Ovis aries: one gene and its partners. The protein of the gene in region 1 purifies or fractionates together with the protein of each later gene. This does not show direct contact. Links are inferred from orthologs where the notes say so. Each region holds a gene or a part of one and is shown on either strand. Other genes may lie near its edges.

What was found.
Region 2: the proteins of RABGGTA (region 1) and CHML purify together in Homo sapiens (co-immunoprecipitation; 3 studies listed by BioGRID and IntAct, counting the BioPlex papers as one, with this or other methods). This does not show direct contact. The link is inferred for Ovis aries from reciprocal best matches to the Homo sapiens genes RABGGTA and CHML.
Region 3: the proteins of RABGGTA (region 1) and CHM purify together in Homo sapiens (co-immunoprecipitation; 4 studies listed by BioGRID and IntAct, counting the BioPlex papers as one, with this or other methods). This does not show direct contact. The link is inferred for Ovis aries from reciprocal best matches to the Homo sapiens genes RABGGTA and CHM.

What each region holds. Positions count from the first base shown.
Region 1 is NC_056060.1:20,712,777-20,720,316, reverse strand, and holds RABGGTA (geranylgeranyl transferase type-2 subunit alpha), read right to left. Parts: upstream 7,390-7,540; 5' UTR 7,159-7,389; intron 7,011-7,158; 5' UTR 6,959-7,010; coding exon 6,956-6,958; intron 6,797-6,955; coding exon 6,686-6,796; intron 6,307-6,685; coding exon 6,182-6,306; intron 5,992-6,181; coding exon 5,804-5,991; intron 5,550-5,803; coding exon 5,346-5,549; intron 5,041-5,345; coding exon 4,957-5,040; intron 4,871-4,956; coding exon 4,788-4,870; intron 4,700-4,787; coding exon 4,598-4,699; intron 4,495-4,597; coding exon 4,389-4,494; intron 4,293-4,388; coding exon 4,241-4,292; intron 4,099-4,240; coding exon 4,010-4,098; intron 3,908-4,009; coding exon 3,819-3,907; intron 3,724-3,818; coding exon 3,607-3,723; intron 2,991-3,606; coding exon 2,877-2,990; intron 2,619-2,876; coding exon 2,531-2,618; intron 1,880-2,530; coding exon 1,731-1,879; 3' UTR 1,655-1,730; downstream 1-1,654. UniProt on the Homo sapiens protein: Catalyzes the transfer of a geranylgeranyl moiety from geranylgeranyl diphosphate to both cysteines of Rab proteins with the C-terminal sequence -XXCC, -XCXC and -CCXX, such as RAB1A, RAB3A, RAB5A and RAB7A.
Region 2 is NC_056065.1:34,433,803-34,441,607, reverse strand, and holds the end of CHML (rab proteins geranylgeranyltransferase component A 2), read right to left. Parts: 5' UTR 7,615-7,805; coding exon 5,647-7,614; 3' UTR 1,079-5,646; downstream 1-1,078. UniProt on the Homo sapiens protein: Substrate-binding subunit (component A) of the Rab geranylgeranyltransferase (GGTase) complex. Binds unprenylated Rab proteins and presents the substrate peptide to the catalytic component B.
Region 3 is NC_056080.1:77,648,675-77,657,265, forward strand, and holds the start of CHM (rab proteins geranylgeranyltransferase component A 1), read right to left. Parts: upstream 4,851-8,591; 5' UTR 4,829-4,850; coding exon 4,780-4,828; intron 1-4,779. UniProt on the Homo sapiens protein: Substrate-binding subunit of the Rab geranylgeranyltransferase (GGTase) complex.

The DNA of each region.
Region 1 (7,540 bases):
GGATTAGGAAGGTCAGAGTGGAAGCGATCTCGTTTTCTAATGGTCACCCTTCCCCAACCCCCAGGGGTTTGGAGGTGACTTTAGTCTTTGCTCTGGGGCTCAGGTGGAAATGAAGTCTCTCTCCCCAGTCTGCAGAGTACCCCTTTCTTCCACTGAGACAAATGTCTGGTGAGCTGGAGGCCGGAGTTCTCAACTTGGAATTCTTCCTAGGAATCCTGACCAACCGGCTGCAGGCACCTGCCCAATTCCATCCCAACCCTGAGAGAAACACCACAGAGGCCACCAACAGAACCCCAAGGCAAAGAGGAGGTCAGGCATCTTCCGGAAGGTTGGGACCCTGTTCTTAGGTTCTCTTCTCTCCATCCTGCCATTGTCCCAGCTCTGCCCATGGGACACTGAACAGAAGACAGTAAAAACAGGGAGGGCAAGGAGATACAAGGAAGCTGCCTGGAGGAGAGGCTGAGTTTGGTGATGCATGTGGCAGGGAGGTGCCTAGGGGAGTGGGGACAGAGGCTCCAGGACCTAGCAGAGCCCTCCGCATCTTCATGACCTTTTCCTGTCCAAGTCTAAGCTCCAGACCTGGCAGGGGGTGGCTAACCCCACCTCCAGCACATTCAAGAATAGAAATCACACTAGCAGAAATAAAATTTCCAGGCAGGTCAGCCAAAGGGCTTCACGGAAGGCTGTTTGTATATCACTCCAGATACAGAAAGGACAGGGAGGGCCCTGAGAGTCCAGTGTGTGTACATGTAGGCCCAGGTAGATTCTCAGGGAAACAGGAAAATGCCTGGTCACATTCTCTCCCTCCTGTTTCAATCAATCTTTCTGTTTCCCCACCCAGCCAGGTTTGACTCAGGGCCCTCACCCCTGAGCCACTCCCCTTTCGTCCCAGGAGGCTCAAGTGCCGCAGGGCTTTCAGAGTCAGGACAAGGTACTTGTGTGTGTTGGAGGGGGGACCCTGGGAAAAGACACTATCTTTGTACTTTAGGAGCTAAGGCCAGGTTCTGCCCAATCCAGAAGCAAGAACATGAATCTGGAATCCCAGACCAAGTTACAGAGACAGCTTTGGCTCCAGCACTTGAGCTCAGCAACCTTGGGTACGTCTGAACAGCAGTTTCCTCATCAGCACAATGGGCCTAATCATCTCAGCCCTGAGAGCTTGCGGGGATCAAATGGGATCAAGTATTTTCAAGCGCTCTTTATCCTGGGCATGCTACTCATGGAGACTAATAGTGTTGTTATAAGACAGTGGAGCCAGGGCACCCTGAACACACCTCCTGGGAACAGCTTTGGTGAAGGAGAGCCAGGGCAGACAGGGTGTCTGGAAGGGACACAGATCACAGAAGAAACTTCTCTCAGCCTTTCTAGTTGGAGAGACTTCCAGGTGCTTTGTAGCCCCACTCAAACTAGAACCTGAACCCAAACCTGATGCCAGCCTGGAGGTTAGGCGCAGCCCAGCCCCAAAGCAGAAGGCAGACTCCAATCCAGCCGTGGCCCTGATTCTGCCCCCAACATGGAGGTTCTGCTTCTCCCCGACAGGGAACAGCAAGACTGAGCATGAAACGGAAGCACAGCGGGGGAGCCGACATATCTCTCTCCTTTTCTTGTCCAGAAAAGCAGTGGTGACAGCAATAACGGTGGTGGCGGCAGCAGCTTAGCAGTGCTCAGGGACCTCCTCATTGTTTATTCAGTTCCAATAAGTTAAAGGGCAAGGGTGGGGGCAGGGCCTCTTAGGTGAGGATGCTGCTAACCGAAGGCAGCAGCTCGGCCAAGTGCTCCGAGCTGCCCTCCGCCTGGCACAGCGGGTTGCCCTGCAGGTTGAGGAGGGTCAGCCTGGGGCAGGAGGCGAGAGGCTGGAGCACCGCAGGCTGTTGGAGGCCTTGGGCAGGAGTCAAGGAAAGCTCAGCTGGTTCTCCAGATCCGCCTGCTCCTGAACACCTGTCACTGCAGATCGAGCACTGCTACTGAGCAGCCCGCTGGATGGGCCCCTTGGCCACTTCACTGTAGGACACAGGCCTCTAGGCTGCAGATACCTGCCCCTGGGAGCCAGGCAGGAGGCACAGGACCCTGAGGGGATATGGTCCCGGAGGAGTGGTGGAAACTATGGCCAAGGGGAAAGCCAGCCCCTGCTGCAGAGGCGCCCATGATTCATCAGTGGCCAAGGGCTCCCAAGTGGAAATGCAGGCCAAAGCGTGCTTCAACTTACACATTTGAGAATAATCAGAATTCTAGATTTTTAAAGAATATAAAACCTCCTGATTTTAAACATACGATGTGGTACCCAAGAACATCTGTAGGCAGTGGTTTGTGAACTTAGGTTTGAGGGAGTCACTTCCTTCCATCCTGCAAAACTCTACCAGTGAGAGTCAATGACAGCCTCATACAGCGCCAGACTATCCTCTTCTCAGTTCAGATGGCCAATGCCCCCTCCTCACGCCCGGGGCATGCCCGCCCTGCCTCTTGGCCATCCCTTCCTGGTGTGGCACCTTGCCCTCCCTGCTGTCTGAATGGCACCCAGACGGAAGGATACGGTTGTTACACAGGACAAGCTCCTGCAACCGGGGCAGGTTGGTGACACCATCCAGGGATTCAATTACGTTATCATTGGCCTGCAGCACCTGGGAGCAGGGAAGACAAGGCAGGTAGGCAGGCAGCTGTCAGTATGGGATTTGTACAAGCCACCGGGGAGCCCAGGGTGATCAGCTTACAGGGCATGGAAAGGCTCCTGGGGTCAGGCTGGGTGACAGAAGAGAAGGCTGGGGTCATCTGTGGGGGCTGGGAGGACCCGGGCATCTCTTAGTAGGGTGGAGTGACTTGTGAGGTGGAGGAAGGGGAAAGGGAAACCCAGAACAATGACAGAGGATTGGGGGCTTTACCTCAAGGCAGCGCAGGGCAGCCAGAGCAGGGGGCAGGGCTCGGAGACGATTGTGTGACAGGTCAAGGTGAGTGACCAAGAGCAGCTGCTCCAGATGGCAGAGCACCGTCAGATCCTGAGGAGGGGGACGAGATACCCAGCGAGGCCTGGCGGACAGCTCTCAGCTGTCGTTTATCAGGCCTTTGCCCAGTGCGCCCCACACAGGCCCTGGGGGGTCCCCAGCTGAGGACAGGAGGGAGCAGCTGGGAAGCATACCTCACCACCCCCAGTAGTACATGCTCCTGATCAGGGACACGGGGTCGGGGTGGCCTGTAGTGCAGGGAGCGGGGCAGGTACACGGTGCTGGTATGAACACAGATACCAGTGGGAGAGGGCCCAGTGAGCCCGGAGTTGGATTGGTGGGAGCAAAGGTGGACAGCAGCACCGTGATAAAAATAACGTGTTGGGGAGATTGATTAGGAACGACTACAGAGGAAAAACAGAGTCAGGAGTTTGTCAGGAATCTCTGAGAACTATTCAGCTGTTAGGTGTTGGGGTCTGCCCCAGGGAGAGAAGCATGGAATGAGCTAAGGAAGAAATGTCCAGAAGGGCACGTGAGATGGAAGGCAAAGCGGGGGACGGTGAGTGTCTTGGCTGAGGCCTGAGGAGCAGATATAGACACAGCCGGTCCTGAGGAAGAGGGAGGCGGGCCAGCGGGGTGAGGGTGGGGGAGGCGCATGCGCACGCCCTACCTTGTGACCCAGGTGCAGCACGCGCACCTCCGCGTACTCCATCTTGAGCACGCTGTTCTCCAGCAGGAACTTGCTGCGCAGGTCGTCCAGGTACGCTGCCCTCATTGGGTCCACAGCCTGGCGGGGAGAAGAGAGCACAGGGGCTGTGTGTCAGCTGCCTGGCCGCTGCGTGCTGGGCTGCCCCGGTGCCAACTCCCGCGGACCCAGCTTGCCTTGAGGGTTTGGAAGTACTGCAGGGTCTCCTTCTCGTACTGCAGGGGGTCCAGCGCCCTCATCAGCAAGATGATGGTGAGCAGGCACCCTGGGGAGAGGGTGGGGATTAGGACAGAGGGATCCTCCTGGCAAGGAGCCTGCCTAGGATGGGCCCCCAGAGAAGCAGGAGCTCGGGGGAATCGGGCCTCACATTTATTCTCAGGCTCCAGCTCCTGCAGCTCCTTACAGGACTCCAGCTCCGACTGTAGCACGGTGGACTTCTCCACTGACAGCTCACACCTGAGGGTGGGCAGGGTGGGGGAGCAGTGCTGGTCATCCCCAGTAGCCAGTCTGAGACATCTGCTTGAGCCCTCAGCACCCCACCCAGCTGCCCAGAGTGCACAGCCCTGCTCCTATCCGTGTGCTTCCCTGTGCTCATCACCTGAAGAGCTGCTCATCCGTGGCGGAGTCCCGGCACCAGCCCTCTTGGCGGCCTGAGAGACAGAGCAGGGGTAGGAGAGGACACCCATGAGACGAAGACAGGGATTGGGGGCGCTGCTGCAAAGGGGGGAGGCTGCAGGCTGGCTCACCTTTTAAGAGCACACACTCCTTCTGGGCATCGCCTGCTGTCCAAATGACACGAAATGTATGCTGGGGCAATTGGTCGTTGAGGGAGGTGGCGGGCAGGTCACAGAGCTGGGAGCACGGGGTTAAGAGAAAGCCCAGGCTGCACCACTTTTCTGACTGTCCCACCCCAGCCCTGTCCCAGCCCCGACTCCACCCACCAACCCTGGGATACCCAGACGTGGCTAGGCCGGTTCCTGCCCTCTGGGGTCCTCCACTCCACAGCCAGGGGTGACTCATCAACCATGAGCAGCAAGGTCTCCATGCCGGAGCCCACCTGATGCAGGGGACAGAGACAGACCATCACTCCAACGGCACCAGGCCCACCATCCACGGTACCCTTCAGCAAAAGCTTCGGGACTCACGAGGAGAGGCCGAGAGAAGGAGACAGTCAGGCATGCCTCATCCCGGCTCACGTGCAGGCAGCGCAGGGCATCCTGGGGATCAGCTGTGAGAAGAAACAGTCTCAGGTCTCCTTAAATATCCTTCCATTCCTTCTTGGCTCCAATCCCCCACTTCTTCCCTACTGTTCACCTCGTCCCAGGAGCCAGCGATGGTAGAACCAGGCACTCTGATCATTGGGGTCAGTGAAGAAGGCGTTCTGCACCAGCTCCAGCTCTGCAGGGGCCAAGGAGGCATGGTGCTTTGGTTAGGACCCTTCTGGGCTCCTGTCTACCCCTACATACTGCCCTCTCTTTGGAGAACTTCCTGCCTTCAGTTTCACTTATATGCCAGCCTTACCCAGGGGCTGCGTACATCAGGAGCCAAGTGGACACTTGGGCTCTCTGCAGCCAGGGGCTGGATCTTATGCATCCCCAGAGCCAGGCATTTTCCCGAGTGGTAGGTTCAGGAGCAGGCCTAGGCATCAGGGTCAGAAGGGCAGCATGGGAGAGTCCTCTCAAGCACTCCCTGACCCTGCTTACCTTTGAGCAGCACATCCTCAGGGAGGCGCCCCTGGGGTCCAGAGTCTGGCTGAGGGTGCAGCTGGGGCAAGAGGCAGGAGCGGTAATGCCAGGAGGAGTAGTTGGAGAAGTTTCGGGTGATGAGGCTGTCAGTGAAGGCAAGCTCCTCTGCAGGGGGCACAGCTGCCTGTGCAGCCACAAACCGCCGGTAGTCCCAGCAGTGAACTGGGGGGATAGGCAGACAACACATCTCAGAAGCAGGGCAAGAGCTGCCTGGCTGGGACCGTGGCATCCCCTTGGAGACCCCAAGAAACACCTCTGTGCCCTCCATGGAGGACACATTTGGCCTCGTCATCCCTTGTGTCATCAGCTCAGTGGACCCATCCTGGCCATCCCTCCCAACTCTGGACCTTACTGAGGCCCTAGTACCGGGACATGGGGCAGGTGTAGGCAGAGAGACAGAATCTGCAGGCACGTACAGTTCCGCTCGTCAACCTCGAGGAAGCGGGCACACAACTCCAGCTCCCGGGCCCAGTTGGGCTCTGGCAGGCGGCCCAACAGCCAGCAGCGGTGGTGCCAGGTACCATAAGACTTGGGGTTCACCCTCAGGCAGCTCTCCAGGAAGCCCAGTTCTGCCTTCACCAAAGCGGCCAACTCCTCAGGGGACCTGTGCCCAGAGGAATGGGGGTCAGGGCCCTCCAACACCCAGTCTCATTTCACCCTTGACTTTTTGCACCTAGCCCTCCACTGCCCTCTGCCTATGCCCCTGGCTGCCCCATTCTTCTTCCACCCCTGGACCTAGGCCGGGCAGGGCCAGAGCGAGGGCCATCTTCCTTGGGCCCTAAACCTCTACATACTTCTGGACCTCCAGCTGCTGGAGCACCTCTCGTCGACAGTTCCAGAGGGTGGCAAAGTCAGGGTTGGCTCCCAGAATCTGGCTTGTCAGTTCCAGCACTGACTCATCCAGCTCTCCAGCCTGGCGCTGAGAAGATAGATAACAGGATCAGGGATCACATCACTCTTCTTCTACAGAGCTCCATAACATAAATAGAACTACTGAATGTTCTGTGAATGCCACACTTTACTACAAGTACTATACAAAGCCCTTTATGGGATAATATGTAATCTTGCAATCATTGATTTTCACAACAGCCTTATGCAGTAAGTACAATCGTTAGCCCTGTTTTACAGATGGGCAAATTGAGGTCCAAAGAGATTCAGTAGCTTGCCTAAGGACACACAGCTAGTAAGTGATAGAACCTAGATGTGGATTCTAGCAACCTGACTCTAAGGCGCAGTTCTTGGTCAAGTGCTATGCTAAGGGAGCCACGGTGGGAGGGGACTACCTCTGAGGGCCCCACCTTCTGGAAGACAGTCTGGGTGGCTGCCTGGTATAGCTTCAGCTTCTGTTCCCGCTCTAGTCTTTTGGCTTCCGCTTGCTCTTCCGATGTCTTCACCTTCAGGCGCCCGTGCTATGGTTGCAAGAGTGCAGGCTGCCTTGCTGGGGCAGACCCACCGGAACCACCCCTGCGGAGCCCCAGGTTTATATCGGGAAACGGAGGCAAGCCCACGCCGGACAAGGGCAAGGGCGTGCGCATGCAGAGGTGAGGAGCTGGGCTCAGGGTTCTCACCATGGTGCTGGCTCAGATTCAGGGCAGGGGAAGGGTCCAGTGGTGCCTGTGAAACCTGGCGAAAGACGTGTCAATCATGGGAGTCCCGCCCCTCGGAGCCCCGCCCCTCGATGTCCCCAGGAAACCGTGAGCAAGCCCGGGCGGAGACCCCTGGGGTGTTAAGGGGTCCCGGGACAGACACTGCAAGTCCAGGAGGAACCCACCCGAACTGGTCTTGCACACGTGCGGCCCTGCCTACAGCCCGATCCGCCGGAGCTGGGCCCGAGTTGGGGCACTTAGCTTATGGAGACCACTCTGTGCCCAGAGGTTGCCGCTACCCGCCCGCCCCAAGGTTCCCAAGCACTGCTGCCCCCCGCGGGCGGACCCACCTGTGCTGGGAGGAGGCGAGCGGGACGCGGAGCTGCGGCGCCCGCCACCGAGCCCGAGCGCTGGCTAGAGCGGCGTCACGCTCTGGCTTCTCCGAGGCGCAGCGCCCTCTGCAGGCCTGGGGAGGGGCTCGCAGGAGAGCTTCCGACTCCGGAAGCGCCTGCGCAGGATTCCTGCGCGCTCTGTTCGAAAACGCCAAGTCCTTGTTAGCCTTCTGGT
Region 2 (7,805 bases), on another chromosome or scaffold:
GACTTCTTAGAACTTCAAGCCTGTGAGACACCATCTCAAGTAACTCTGATAAAACTGCTCCAAGGAGGTGAGGGGAGGAGCCAGGTTATATAGAAGCTTTGTAACAAAGAGCAGGTAGCATGAACATCAAAAGATTATTGTTAATTAAAGAAAACCAGATATACTAATTTGAGGAATTTAGTGCTTTTCTATGTGTGGGAAGATGCAAGTCTGGGCTCACTGCTATCCAGGACAGTAGCCTGTGTTTCCACATCCTGAGCTTCCTTTCCTCGGGGCTCACCATAGGAACTGGTGTGGTCTGATGGCTCCCATTCTTCCTAAGCGCCCATGGGGCTCACCAGCTCACGTTGGAGGACTACAATGACTGAGACCTCCCTGTTTACTGATATGATACGAAATATTTCATTTCTCACTGCCAGTCTAAACCCAACTTTCATTCCCCTGGCCTCCAAGACTCCAAAATGAAGTTTGTTCTTGGATTTGGCGTGATACTTTTAATTAGTGTGGGGCTTCCCTTGTGGTTCAGCTGGTTAAGAATCTGCCTGCAATGTGGAAGACCTGCATTCGATCCCTGGGTTGGGAAGATCCAGAGAAGGGAAAGGAGAAGAGAACGGCTACTCACTCCAGTATTGTGGCCTGGAGAATTCCACGGATTGTACAGTCCATGGGGTCACAAAGAGTCGGGTACAACTGAGCGACATTCATACACTTTAATGTGTGAATACAACATGTGTATTGTGTGACTGTGTCAATACAACGTGTGTTCAATATAATGGCTTCATGCTGATGTCCTGGAATGTATTAATATCATTTCTATTATTTCAACCTCTGGTTCTGAGGTTACCATTGGGGGGAAAAAAAAGTCTATCTATAGTCATAGTATACCTTAATGCTGGGCAACTGAGAAAAGATACAAAAGACACAAAATCCATCTTGACCACAAGAGCTGGAAAACTTTCTGTCCATGCTTTTGAAGATTATCTTTTGACACTAACATTTAAATATATATTCTTAATTTAAAGGAGAACTTTAGAAGTTTCAAAGAAATCAATAATATTGTCTCCAATTCAGTAAACCATTTTATCAATTAATCTTTTATTTTTTATTTCACACATCAATATTTTATAGAAAAAAAGGGCCTCTTAATGTTACACTCTAATTACAATGTTTTATTGATTCTTTCCGATGTAGAGACCTCAATTTTTACACAATCAGTAAATACAATAACTTAACACTTTTGAGGCTCATTAAAACATTTCCCATACTGTTTTACATATATCAATACTATTAATGGCTATATAACAGTCTATGAAAGCAATAGCAATACATGAAAATTTACTTATCCAGTTCCCAATTACTGGGCTCTTTTAAAAATTCAAATAAATGCACTCACTAGAAATATCTTTATACAAATAGCCTTTTTTCTTTTAAAATATTTTCCTGGGCATATGCTAACTCAGAGTGAATTAGATCTATAAAAAGACAGACTGGTTATAGGATTCTTATATTTTTCTAAATAGTTCTTCAAAAAACAGATATAATAATGCTACTGGTATGAGGATACATGCAACTAAAATTTTTTTGCATGAACTACATCAAAGTTGCTTAGTTTGCATTTTTAATATTAGGAAATCTGAATACCATTCTAAGAATTAACTTCTATTTGTTATCTTCTTGTTTGAACTTAATTCTTTCATAAATTTGCCGAGTAAGCCTTATGGATTTGCATTTACCTTTTAAAAAATAGAGTACTTTATCCTTGTATAATGCAGGTAGGTTTTATCCCATCTCTTGGGAGGCAAGAATCCCGTTTTCCTCCTAAGTTAAAAAGACATATCTTTGCTTGCTTATTAGCCTAAATTATCACAGTTCTGTCAAATTATATAAATCATCCATCCATACATGTTAAGTGGGAGTGTAGCAAATTTACATACTAACTTCACCTTATTGCCAGTTCTTCGGACATAATTTCATTTACATTAATCCTCGCAATAATTCTGAAAACATTATTTCTACTTTATAGATGATGAAAAGTAGGCATGATTTTCCCATGATTATACAACTGTAAGTAGTAAAGTGAGGACTACAATTATGGTTTTCAGATTTCCTATTTACTTCCCTTCCATTATACTAGGATGTAGTATATCTGCTTCAATCTGCTTCTATATAAGCATCTTTCTTAATTTATCCCAACACGGTTGTGTAACTTTCTTTAAATGGCTTGCATATACTAATACCCAAACACTTTAAATTGTAGCTTATCATTGCTGGAATCTAGAAATAAGATTAATTTTTAAACATTATATATCCTGCAATTTTCTGAATTAGTCTTTTGTTTATGATACTACAGGTTTCACTAATTTAAAAGCCATACTAATAGGAAAAATTTGTGCTCTCCTTATCTTTCTCATTTACATATGCTTATTAAGGATTTATTACAATGATGAGTTTTCCTCAACTATATACAAAAAATAGTACCAAGATTATTTAATTTCCGGTTGAGAATTATTTATTTTTCCCTAACAGGAATGATATAAGTTCTCAGTTTTAATAACTACTTATCACAATGAGAAACCAACACAGTCATTAACAGAGATAAATATTTTTATTAATATTTTTAGTTACCTGTAGTTAATACTTTGAATTTTTACTACTTTGTTCTGTTGATATTGATTTAATGGTTATCCTGTTGAACACTAACTGCATAATTCTGAGTGACAGTAAATAACTATTTTCCATTTGCTAATATTTTGCATTTGTTCAGATGAGAGCCTTTTCAAAATGTTTCCTCCTAGTACTGAGGCGATATTAACTTCAAAATGCAAGTGTTAGTATATATCTTTCTGGTACATAGATATTATTTATTCTTTGAACATTTGAAAAAATTCACCAATAAGCCCATAACAGTAAAATGGGTTTGTCAGAAAATTATACTAGGTTGGGACTTCCCTAGTGATCCAGTGATTAAGACTTTCCTTCCAATGTAGGAGGTGTGAGTTCAGTTTCTGGTTTGGGAGCTAAGATCCCACTCATATGCCTCACAGCCAAAAAACCAAAAAATAAAAAGGAAGCAATACTGTAACGAATTCAGTAAGGCTTTAGAAAAATGGTCCACATCAAAAATAAATCTTTAAAAAAAAAAAAGGATGAAAAGAAAATTATACTCTCCTCTAATTTTTAAAATGCTTTTCTCTGGTAATAATTTTTTATTTCCAACTTATTTGTATTCAAGTAGGAAAATAATAAATTCATTTCTTAGTTTTCAAAACACTTATTTTATCTAATCTAACATTTTCCTGTTTCTATTACTGTGGTTCTATCATCTTTTGCAACATCTCACTGATATTCTCAAATTCTTATGAGTAAAAATATTCCTCATATTGAAATTAAAATATTTTCAATAGGTCTGGGTTACCTTCACTTCCATTTAACATCTCAAATTCTTTTACATTTTAATAACTAATTTTTAGGTCTATTTCAGACATTTCATTTGTTTCGATAAGTATAAGCCTAGAAGCCAAGCAATAACAGATTTGCTAGATTCAAAATATATATATTAATATCAATTCATGACTTCTCTACTTCAGTAAGTTGAAATTTAAATTGTTCTTGTTTCATTTTTCTCACATACAGAAGAGCAACAAAAGTCTATTTAGAGCGTATTTTGCCCTAGTAACATGTTACTTTTTATAACATCATAATCAAAAGGTAAATTAAAAAGAATAATTGTGTTAAAGCTTAGACAAATTCTACTTCAGTGAGATTCATAGCTCTAAGTTACATGTATTTTTAATTAATCTTTACTTTCCTATTTCTCTGACTCAGTAATAAGCTGAGAGTCTGCCTACTTTGCTTCACTAGCAATGCTGGACTGGTTCTCATGAGCCAGTAATCTTTTCTTTCTCCTTCAGTACCTACACTCTACTAACAGTTAACATTAGTTGAAAGATTTTGAAATCATGGAAGCCTGGATTTCAATGTTGGCTCTGCCACAAATCACACTCAGAGTGAATTACTGTCTTTACTTCCTCTCTGAAAATGTATTATCTGCCTCACAGAGTTGTTGAGAAACTATAATGAGAGAGTACAGTAAGTGTGTGCTGCTGCTGCTGCTGAGTCGCTTCAGTCGTGTCCGACTCTGTGCAACCCCAGAGACGGCAGCCCACCAGGTTCCCCCATCCCTAAGATTCTCCAGGCAAGAACACTGGAGTGGGTTGCCATTCCTTCTCCAATGCACGAAAGTGAAAAGTGAAAAGTTAAGCCACTCAGTCGTGTCTGACTCCTAGCGACCCCATGGACTACAGTCTATCAGGCTCCTTCATCCGTGGGATTTGCCAGGCAGGAGTACTGGAGTGCGTAGCACACAGTAAATGCTCTGTTCCAGGGCAAAAGAAATGTAATTAAAGGGCTTATTTCCTATAGGATTATCATTCTCTGTCTGAGGAATAGAAATGGTGACTTAGGAAGGAAATTTACTTCTTCTGAGTTTCACAAGCTTGCTCTGCTAGAATATAAGCAGCTTTATAACTTCTGGTGGTTCTGGAAAAAAATATTTCTATCTTCTAGATAACAGCTAAGAGGCAGGAGCTGATTATGAAGGTGTCCACCTCGTTACTTGCTGGGACACAACCAAAGGGGCATGGTAAAGCTTCCTCTGATTTACTCCTAACAACTGTAGTGTTACTAATTAAAGCGGTGGTGCCAACAAAATGGTATACTTCACTTCCATTGAGAAATCTTGGGAAATCTACTCACAGATGGATTTTTAAAACCATCTGTAATCCCAGGTTAAAAATGCTTCAGGCATTCTGAAATATCTTTTCCTGGAGCAGTTTATTTTTTCTTTAGCCTGAATTACTTAGAAGTTCTTTTGTGCTCTGCATAAGTCTTCTGAAGTATTGAACCAGAACTAATCTTTCCCCCTAGATTTTCTTTGGACCAAACCTCCCAAGAATGAGCTTTGCAACTACTAACTGAACTCTCTGACTCTTTCCAATGTATAAGACTGGGATGACATCACTGCCTCATTGACTACAAGGGTCAACCAGGAGAATTAAACTGCAAGGTGAATTCTAAACATCACCTTTACAAATAAAAGATCATGCAAAACTATTCTTCCAACAATTACATATTTTATCACATTGGCACTTGCATTAGTTGCTATTGCTGCCACCATATCTATATGTTTCTATTATAAACAAAAGACCCACATAATTTCCTGTGTTTCACTACTCAGAGGTGGTAGCAACTGTAATAGCTGTAAAAATAATTTAAATATTCCTTAGATATCACCGTTCTGTAGACAATAATAAAATTTGAAGATAATCAGCAGATATAATATCATCTTCCTTTAAGCACCATTGCTAACACGGAACTCTCACATATATACCCAGTACTAAAATAAAGCTAATTCTGGGTCATGGAGCCCATTCTGAAACAAAACAAGTCCAATACCCAATACATCAGTCATTGATAGGTTAACAAAGGCATCCAATGACTAAAAGTCACAAAGAGAATTATAGACATCTGCATGACATTCATCATATAACCACATCTAATTACTCCTATAGGAAACTGTCCTTTAAATGAGAATATTCTGATGCCAGGACAAAGGCCCAAAGTAGCATTTCCAGTTTGTTTTTTTTTCTAATTTTGAAGGTGCTTCCCTGAACTTTCTAGGTTTTTACTTCCCTCAGAGGATTCTAGTTTGGCCATTACTATATTACTGGTTCCAAGAGGCTCTGATGGCTTTTCATCACCATCAAAGAAAATGTCTTCCGGATTTGGAGGTGGGGGGCAGAATTCTTCACTTGGAAAGATCTCGTGGAAGAGTGTTTCAGCTTGCTTGACGGCATGCTCACTTCCGAGTCCACAGTCAGGCCCAGTGCAGACATAAACGTTGGGAGGCAAGCCATTATATGAGCTTCGGCTGACTCCCGAGGAATCTCTCATGTTAAAATAAAGAGCCCACAAGAGTCCTGGCTTTGGAAGTTCTTCCTTGTCTACTTCTGTCTCAGAATACGGGGTGAATAATTTCTTCACCACTGATTCTAAGTCTTCTCTTGCTGTTTTGGAAGATGAACAGGTCAGATGTACCAGGTAGGTGTCTTTCATGCATGTCATGGTTGAAGAACATAATTCAATGATTCGGACAGCATGTGCTCCTGGTTCCACTGGAGGTACTATCAAAATGGAAATCTGCTGATCTGAATCTGTCTTTAGGACAGACTGATCTGTAATGAGCACTGCCCTGGATATCTGCTTATACTGCACACTGGAACATGTTTCCTCAGACAGGTAACTATCCTCCACAATGAAATATTTAGCATTTATCCTTTGACCAAGGTGATCTATAATTGCTTTACATCTTCCAGATTCTCTGTCAACTACAAGGCATTGTACTTTATGGCGAAGACAATATATTCCACCGAAAACTGCACACATCCTGCAGAAACACTGGGGAATTTCGCCTTGGCCATATAAGGGAAATAAAAAGGGAGTGTTGCCAAACCGTCCAAGACACTGAAGAAAGTTTTTTGTTGCTTTAAGGCCATCTACTGTAGTGCAAGATGATTCTGACATCATGGCAATCGAGTGAAGTATAAAATGTTGGAGGCTGGGGGTTAATTTTTTGGTTTTCAAGTACTCTGAAAATGAGCATTGTGTGAAAGCTTGGTATTCCTCAGGATGTTGTTCATAATCTAAACAAAATGTAAGAAATTTCATTAGCATCCTCTTTTCAACCATAGTGAGCTCTTTGCTATTAAAGACATCTGCTCTGGAACAAGGCACCTGCTCTACTTTTCCTTCTCGAAATGCAAGAATCCTAGTGACATTTTTAAATTCAGCGTAACGACTAACATTTGATTTGATTAACAGATCAATTAACAGTCCTTGAGAATAAAGCAACTTCGATGACAGATCAATATTAAACCTCCTGCCTTCTTTAACTATTTGAGAGTAAGCAATCCTCTTTCTCTTTGGTGGCACACTGTTGTTTTCCAATACAGGTTTGATTTCATCTTTAGTGCCATCTGAAAGTGTGTGTTTATAAGTATCATACCCACAATATTCTTCTTTCACAGAAGTTTCTGCCGTATCAGTTATTTCTTCATTGTTTTTTGGATTGTTGTCTACATTGTTGTCTTGTGTAGGCACTTCATAGCTAGTAATGTGTGATGAGTGAGTTTCCTCAGACAAGCTTGTAGAATCCAGAGGTTTTATGAGGGTACTAGATGCTACACAAGGATTTTTCTGCAGAGCATCAAGCTCTTCAATATTGCCATCCATGCCCTGACTGGCATAACAAAACACTTCGGCGTGTTGAATGGTTTCATCCTTCTTGCAAAGAGGGATGGCTTCTTCTGTTTCATGGATCATGTCTTGCCATGCAGCAGGGCTTTCTTCCACAGTGTCACTGTTTTGCCGATGTTCCTTCAACCAGGACAGCAATCCTGGAAAGCTGAAACTAGCCCAGTTTCCCCCATAGTAACTTCTTGAATCGAGATGCAGAACCCTTTGACCACTTCTGGAACATGCAGCGGCAAGGATGGATTCAGGCAGACCTGTCCCCATCACTATCACATCAAATTCTGTTGGGAGACTGTTGGCCATCCTGGAAAAGTATCTGGTGACAACTTCTAATGAAGAAAATGTGTATGAATCTGGGCTGAGGGTTCAGAGAAGGTGTGACTATGCTGTAATAAAATCTCTCCTTGTGATATTCCAGATCATCCCAGAAATACTGAAGTTGCAGGTCCCAGGTATTCAACTGCTACCCTTTTTTAGTATTATTTTCTTCTAGG
Region 3 (8,591 bases), on another chromosome or scaffold:
AGAAGGCTGAGCACTGAGGAATTGATGCTTTTGAACTGTGGTGTTAGAAAAGACTCTTGAGAGTCCCTTGGACTGCAGGGAGATCAAACCTGTCAATCCTAAAGGAAATCAATCCTGGATATTCATTGGAAGGACATGCTGAAGCTGAAGCTCCAATACTTTGGCTACCTGATGAGACGAACTGACTCATTAGAAAAGACCTTGATGCTGGGAAAAATTAAAGGCAGGAGGAGAAGGGGACGACAGAGGATGAGATGGTTGGATGGCAGCACCGACTCGATGGACACGAGTCTGAGCAAGCTCTGGGAGTTGGTGATGGATAGGGAAGCCTGGTGTGCTGCAGTCCATGGGGTTGCAAAGAGTCAGACACGACTGAGTGACAACTGAACATCAAGAAATTCAGCTGTGCTACCTACATGACCATTCCTGATGAAAGCAGTTTATCATTTCCAAGAAAATGATTCTTTATAAGCTGCTCTGATAGAAAAATTTCTGAAAACACTGACTTGACTTCAGATGAGGACTACATAAAATTTAGTCTTTTCTCAAGGACCCAGTGTCATAATTATGCACACACAATGGTAAATTTTAGAGTTGGGAGATGCCTATCTTAGAGGTCACCTAATTCAAGTCTCTCACTTTACAAATGAACAAATTGATGTTCCAAGATGTTATACAACTTGCCCAAAGTCACCTAGAAGGAAGGTTAAGTGATTCCCTTTATGCCAGGATGCCACAATGACTGATTCTGGACTATGCTGAACATGATATAGCAAGACAGTCAGGATTTATGAGCAATATCCCTGTAATTTCCCCCATGTTTTTCATTTTTCTTATTTCATTTATTTCCCCATAATCTTTAGCAATAAAATTCTTAAATGAAAAGGATCCACGTTTGTCCTCTGCAGGAAAAATGTTTAAGCTAGTCTACTCCACAGCCCATTTGGGGAAGAACTCCAAAATATAATATGTGTGATGTACTTTAGAAAGGAAAGGGATGCTGAATAAATCTCTATGTGGTCTTCAGAAAGCAAGAAAGATGCAATGAAAAGCCCACATTGTCTTAGAACAGCTCTGAGCATGTGACTATCAGGAACCCCAAACAGCTCCTCAGAATAGGTAACACAGTAAACGTCACAAGGGCAAGGACTAGGTTCTCAATAATTCTGGGCTGAATATTCTAAAAAATGTTTAGTCTGTCCCTATGCCAAATGGTCCCAGGTCATTGTGTTGCCTGATGTAGGTTTGCATTTTAGGTGTTTGCCTTTCCCCTTTCACATTAGGCTATAAACTGTCACTTAGGTCTAATGACACCCTCCAAACACAGCTTCTGCAGCAGTTGTTAACATCTCCTGTGTCTTCTCTGGAAGAAGAAATGCCAACCCACTCTAATATTCTTGCCTGGAAAATCCCATGAACAGAGGAGCCTGGTGGGTTACAGTCCAAGGGGTCACAGAGATGGACACGACTGAGTGACTAAGACTTAATATGCTCTGAGCATGCTAGAATTTTCTAAAATAAGAATGAATATGCTCTAAGTGAAAGAATGAGGGATTCCCCTATGTAAGAAGAATGCCAATAATATCCCATGATGCTTGTAACTTCCATCCCACCTGCTCTTATGTTGAATTGATGGCTCTGCTTCAGGTTACAGATTATACAAGATGCCAGATAAGTCACATCCAGTGAGGTGCTATTATGTTATTATGTGACTAGGACGATTTTTAACCTGTGACCAATGATACTTCTCTGTAACCTACAAAGTTATTATTAAAATGTCTTTATAGATGGAATATGTCTTAAAAATTACAACCGTGCACCCAAACTGAAGGCCACTTTCTAGACACTTATCTCTACATCTATTTTTTTTAAGATAATTGTCATGATTTTTTTTCACTTTTAATTTTTTTTTAATTTTATACTGGAGTCACTATTCCATTTCTGTTCTCTCCCTTGAGGCTCCATTTGGCCCTCCTTCCTTTTTTCGGTTTCTTCTATATTTTGCACGGTTTAAGAAAACAACTCTGTTTTCAGGTGTTTGAGAGATTATTTCCTGTATTTTGTAATCAGGAGTAAATGGGCTTAACTAAGAAAATACATACAAATATTTATTTTCCCATAATCTCTTCAAAACATGACCTTAATGAAAATGTTATATTATGAAGAATGAAAAGAAAAACAAGTTAATCAAGGCCAAAAGGATTTAAAATAGTATCCACAGGTTATTTTACTTGATAAAGCAACTGTTTCTTTATGACATTTTAACTAAAACTAAATCTGCTAAAAGAAAAACTGCATCTCATAGCCCACTTTCATGTTTCTGATACATGCATGATTAATTCTGCTTTTGTTATCAAAACTGAATCTTTGAAATACTGATTTTTCTGATTGACTCAAGCTAGCACACTTAGTAAGGCAAACACATCTTAAAGGCCACTTTCAGCATACTATTTCAGAAGAGAAATATTCCAAACACATTAAAAATCACTTAGTCAATAATGATTATAATTATTGGATTCATTAATTTGGGAATGACTTTTACCTAAATACAAAGCTTCAAATCATAAATTTAAACAACGTGCTTGAAAAGTTAAAGTGTTCACTAAGTGATATGAAAACCTCTAACTCAAATAAGTTCTTCCCATACTTTGAGAAGTAACATTACTCTCATGTTAATAAGTCTAAAATGAATCTTTTTCCAAATAAGCCAGATGTTTCCTGATGCAATTTTCTGGATCACTCACAGAATCTTCCTACCTCTATCATAACAGACTCCAGGAAGATGGATATAGTCCATATTACAAACTGAACTAGAGAGCAAAATATTTCTTATATAATAATTAACAGCACTTAAGAATTGCCACTTATCGATTAAAATTTTGATCAAGAAAAAATATTTTAATGATACAAAGTAATTTTTAAAACGCCCTAAGTTCCAAAGTACAACAAACAAAGGGAGTAACACAGGACCCAAGTATGGTATAACAACTATTCTAAAATGGATACTGTTCTAAGTTTTAAGATAGACTGGAGAGAATAAATAGAGTCTACTGACTCCTTCTAGCTATCATCCAAGATCTGTTCATAGCAGCTACAGCAAGGTAATTTGTAGCCATGCAATTCTCAGGTTGAGAATAAACATGTCCTTACTGTTTTGAGAACAATCACCCATGTATAACTAGAATAAGTGAATTTTTTGTTAGACAACACTGGAAAGGTTATTTAGTTTATCCTGCCTATATTCAAAACCAAGGAAACTGAGGCTCTGAGAGATTAAGTTCCTAACCCTAGAAATTCACACAGCTGGTTAATGGCCAAGCAAGGTCTACAACCAAGTTTTCTCAGTTATTTCTATTAATATGGTTTAATTCTGAGTGTCAGAACTACTGATTCTCCTTTTAGCATACAATGGACTTTTGGAAATTTACCAGCAGTGCGATCTTGAGCAAACTGCAACCTTTTTAAGCCCTTTTTCCTCCTCTGTAAAGTGTACAGAATACCTATTCTAACAAAGTTATGAGGATTACATACGATTTGTAAAAGAGCTTAGCACACGGATTAGCAAATAATCACTCGAAAATAGGTATTTTTACTCCCGACCTGGAAACATGGCTGCTCCTACTGTTTGAGAAGACAATGAGCTGAATTTATTAACACAATGGACAGGGTCTCATTCATCAGAGGTTCTCCAGCCTACCACATTCTGTAGACAGGACAAAACCCCATCCAACAAACTATTTCATCCCATCTAAAATTCACCCTTTACACTGTTAAGAAAAACAAAATAACAACTTTTTCCAAATGTTTTCTGCCACGTGTTGTACGTGTAATTTGTCAACTAGAAACTGCAGAGGGAGTTCTGGCACCACCCAAAACATGAAGAATCAACCGTGGACAAACAAGAGAAAGAAACGATCACACACCAGAACTGGACTCACAGAACTTGTTTTCAGCTCATTTAGCTGTGGGTAGATAGGTGGCTAGAAGAAAGCAAAATGATTTCTTTCAGCACCATAAAGCAGGAATAATGGCTACCTCAACAAATTACAACCCCCTAGGCTTTGGACACGACTGAGCGACTTCACTTTCACTTTTCACTTTCATGCTTGGGGATGGAAATGGCAACCCACTCCAGTGTTCTTGCCTGGAGAATCCCAGGGAGAGAAGCCTGGTGGGCTGCTGTCTACGGGGTCGCACAGAGTCGGACACGACTGAAACGACTTAGCAGTAGCAGCAGCACGCTTCTCAACACAACAGAAAAGAATCCACTTCCTCGCCTTAGTACATTTAAACATAAATGGGTAACAAATGAGTAACAAACTGTATCCGAGATGCACTGAACCCTAGGACTATATAAATATATGAAAAATTCCTATGAAATGGCGAGACAAAATGATGGGGAATATCACTTTGAAATCAGCGAGGAAATTATAATGTCATGCCATGGTGTCTCCATCGATAAAATTCCCACCCTCCATTCTCCTGACACTGCAAACCCTCCTCCCTCTAAGGAAATTACAGGAATCACCGCAGCAACCAACCTCAGCAATCGGCATCAACCATATCGACCCCTACTCAAATGGCGCTATGCACCGCGGGTCCAAGCCCCTCCCTGGAGCGCCCAAGTCCCGCGTTGACTCCAGACTACCTCACTTCCTTTCCGTCCTCCCTCCCACACTCGACCCCAACATTTCTCGCCGACCCTCGCTCCTGACAGAGAAGGTAGGAATGGGACAGACTTCCTACACTTTGTCCAGGTAGTACCAGAGCCACACATACCCGTCCCTATTACGATCACATCAAACTCCGAAGGGAGATTGTCCGCCATCTTAACAGGAAACGTGTCATGTGACTGTTTCTTGTGCAAATAAGATCAAGTTCCGCACTGCCGCGGTAGATGGCGGAAGGGAAACAGTGCATTCTGGGTATTGTAGTTATCGAGTGGTGGGTCCTGGTAGGAGGCTACAGCGTTGTATTTGAAACTTTTTAATCGAACGTTAAAAGCTCCATTCCTTTTCCAGGCTGAGTACAGTAGCGCATTTAGCCTGGAGTTTTGAGGTAGAAAAGAGTTGTAGATTTTTACTCTGATGGCTAGGATGAATGGTAGGAAGACCTGCGAACTGCTTGACAATAATGAAGCAAGAATTGTTAGGAGACACGAGGGTGGAGTGAAATTGAAAGGGAATTGTTCTGTGAACAAAGGAAATTTTCATTTCAGCCTGGAAACTGTTTCCCTTAGCGTGTCTATACTTTCGTTTTGGCCCCCAAAGCATAATTTTTCACACCAATACCTTCATACTCTATTGCTTATCTTTTTTTGTCTTTGTCGCCCCAATAAAAATCCACAAAAAATCTCTCCCTAGTTTCGCTGGAATGGAACCTCACTGCATCTGTATTTGTTCTAGTTACTCCAAACAGCCACCTTGGCTATATATTAATATTGGTTGCAGGAGGGAAAAATGAAAGCACAGTAGTTGCTTGATACGCGTTAACTGATTCTGAATCTAGTCTCATACACGTATACAAAGAGTTCATACAAGATTTTCCCAATAAGGTCCTGCAGAGATGATCTAGGTAAAGTGGCCTTTGTATTCAAGTGATTGTATTTGATGAGGATTAGATTGCCTCTGCCAAGCAGCTAATATAGCTCTCGTAAGTATTTTCAAGGTTGGCCTCCTCCCACCTGCACCCTCACCCCCCTTACTTAAAATGCTTTGCTGTCTGATAATACCAAAATAAAAAAGAAAAGGAAGGTGCATGGGAGTGAGGGAGGGTACTTTTTTGATCCCAGAAATTCATCGTGTAGTTTATTTTACCAGAGTTTCAAAATAATTCAAAGAAAGTGCCGCGTTGGACCATTCTTTACACCACCTGTCTGACCTCTTGTTGTAGTTCTGCAGCCACACAGTTGTTCCTCCAGCATGGAATGATCTTCCCATTCTCCAGGTAACATTTATCCCCAAGACTCAGTCAGTCATTTCCACCACGTCCTCCCTGCATTTCTTCCCTATATTGGGTTAAATTTCCCTACATTTTGCTACCACTCTGTCATAACCGCCCATATTGCACTAAAAATTATTTGTGTTTATGTTGGTTCCTATACTGGACACATAGCCCCCAAAATACACACCCAGATATACCATACCTTAAATTATAAGCCCCTAATTATAGGAGTTGTGCCTTACTTATCTTTTTACCCCTGCATCAAACACAATCCTGGTGTATAACAGGAATTCAGTAAGTGTTTGCTGAACAACTTAGCTCTGATTCCGCTAATGGTAAGTACTATAGAGACAGGGACTGGGTCTTCACCTTGATAGCTGCCCATCACTAGCATGTATCTTATATTTTGAAGATGCTCAATACATGTTCGTTACCACATTAAGTTCCATAAAAGTCTTTAAAATTGTATTTTATTGGGGTTTTTGGCTGCACTTTGTTGAGTTTTGTGACAATCATTAGCAACATCATACAGTGTTGTATTAATATCACTTATGGAATCTCTTCTTGTATTGAACAATACTTTTGTGAAAGTGTCCTCTGACGAATGTTTTGTGTAATAGAGATTCCTCTGAAAAGGGAAATTATTGTCTAGCAAATCACTCTGCTATTTGACTTGATACAAATAGAAAGTTTTGAGTAGTATCAGAAGTGAAATAGACCTTAACTGTGAGATCTGTGAGACTCTTAATACCATCAGTGGAAATAAAAATTAATAGATTTACCAGAGGAAATGCAAAAAGCTTTCTGAAATCTCTATTTTGGAGATGGGTGGGTGGTTAAAAACATGATAAATGAAAGTATTTTTGTCTTTGGAGATATTTGGGTATATGTATGTGTGTGTATATGTGTGTGTGTGTGTGTGTGTGTGTGTGTGTGTATCATTTTCAGTATGACCATATCTAACTTTCTGTGGATTCAGAAATTTTCTAACAAATATAATCACACTGGGAAGACACAACTCATTAATTCATTTAACTTTCCTTAAATACTCATTGAGTACCTACTATGTGCAAGTATTTAGATACTATGTGCAAGATTTAGATGCTGGAATTACAGCAATGAACATGTCTTTATGAATTTCATATCTAATGAAGTAAAAAAAAATAATTACTCTGTAGTATAAATTTTCCACTATGTTTTCCCCCAGATTTGAAATACTATTTTCCCCCAAAGCTAGAGAGCACAACCCTCAAAAAGATAAAAATGCCACCCTAGGACTTCCCTGGTGGTACAGTGGATAAGAATCCTCCAGCCAATGCAAGAGACACAAGTTTGATCCCTGGTCCAGGAAGATTCCACATGTCAGAGCAACTGAGCCCCTGCGCCACAACTAATAAGCCTGTGTGCTGCAACTACTGAAGCTCGTGTGCCTAGAACCTGTGCTCTGCAAAAAAGAAGCCACTGCATTAAGAAGCCCGTGCACTGCAACAAAGAGTAGCCACCACTCACCACAACTAGAGAAAGCCTGTGTGGAGCAATGAAGACCCAGCACAGCCATAAATAAATAAAAATAATTTTTTAACAAAGTGCCAGCCTATATTTAGCTGCCCTTTCTCTGAAGTTATCACATCCTCTCTGGGCATAGAAAAGATTATTATATTAGGAAAATGTAAAGTGTCTTCATGGAGAAAACACTCAAAGTACTTTTTCTTTCCCATGTATTTGTGTTAATCTTTTGCAAGGCAAAAGTGAATGTAGGGGTTGACAACATCAACAAAATAGCATTCAGCAAAGCAGCTTAATTTTATCTATTATATTATTCTAAGGATATCTATTTTTGAGAACTGAAATATTTTATGTGGATAAATCACAGTATGATGAGTTGATGGATACCTACAAACTGACTAACCTGTTAAATCATTGGGACATTATTTTTTTATTTAAAGATTTCTTGAATTGAGAAACCACAATTCTCTGAACATTTACCTTGTATTCAGAAGTTTATTCAACTGTGGGATATGATGTTTCTACAAACCATAAAAATTTTTACAAACTGCAGTTTAATGGTCTCTCTCCCATACCTTTCCTTTGAACTCCAAATCCATATATCCAACCCTATCTCTTCTGGCCATATCCAGTACTGAATTCCTGAATATTTCAACCTTACTTCCAAACCTCTTCACCCAGTGTTCCCTATCTTAGAAATGTTGCCAACTTCTCATCAGTTTCTCAAGTCAAAAGCTTAATATATCATCATTTATCATCCTTTTAATATATTACTGTCTTTCACCCTTAAACCAATTCATTAGCAACTCTTGCCAGATTTATCTCAAGGATATATTGTAAATATATCCACCTCTAAATCTGGACTGCCCCCATAATCTCTTCCCTAGGCTACTACAGTAGATCCCAGCTGGCCGCCTCATTCATGCTTGTTCTCTCCAGTTCATGCCCCACACTGCTGGTAGAGTAAACTTTTTTTAATATAAATTTATTAAATTCAAATCTGATCATGTTCTTCTCTACCTAAAACTTCCATGATCTCCTATTGCTTTAAAAATCCACTCCAAGATTTTAAACATGTTCTAAAAGACCCTGCTGAACTCAACAGTCATCTCGTATCTCTCACCTTTTTCTCAGTTCCAGCC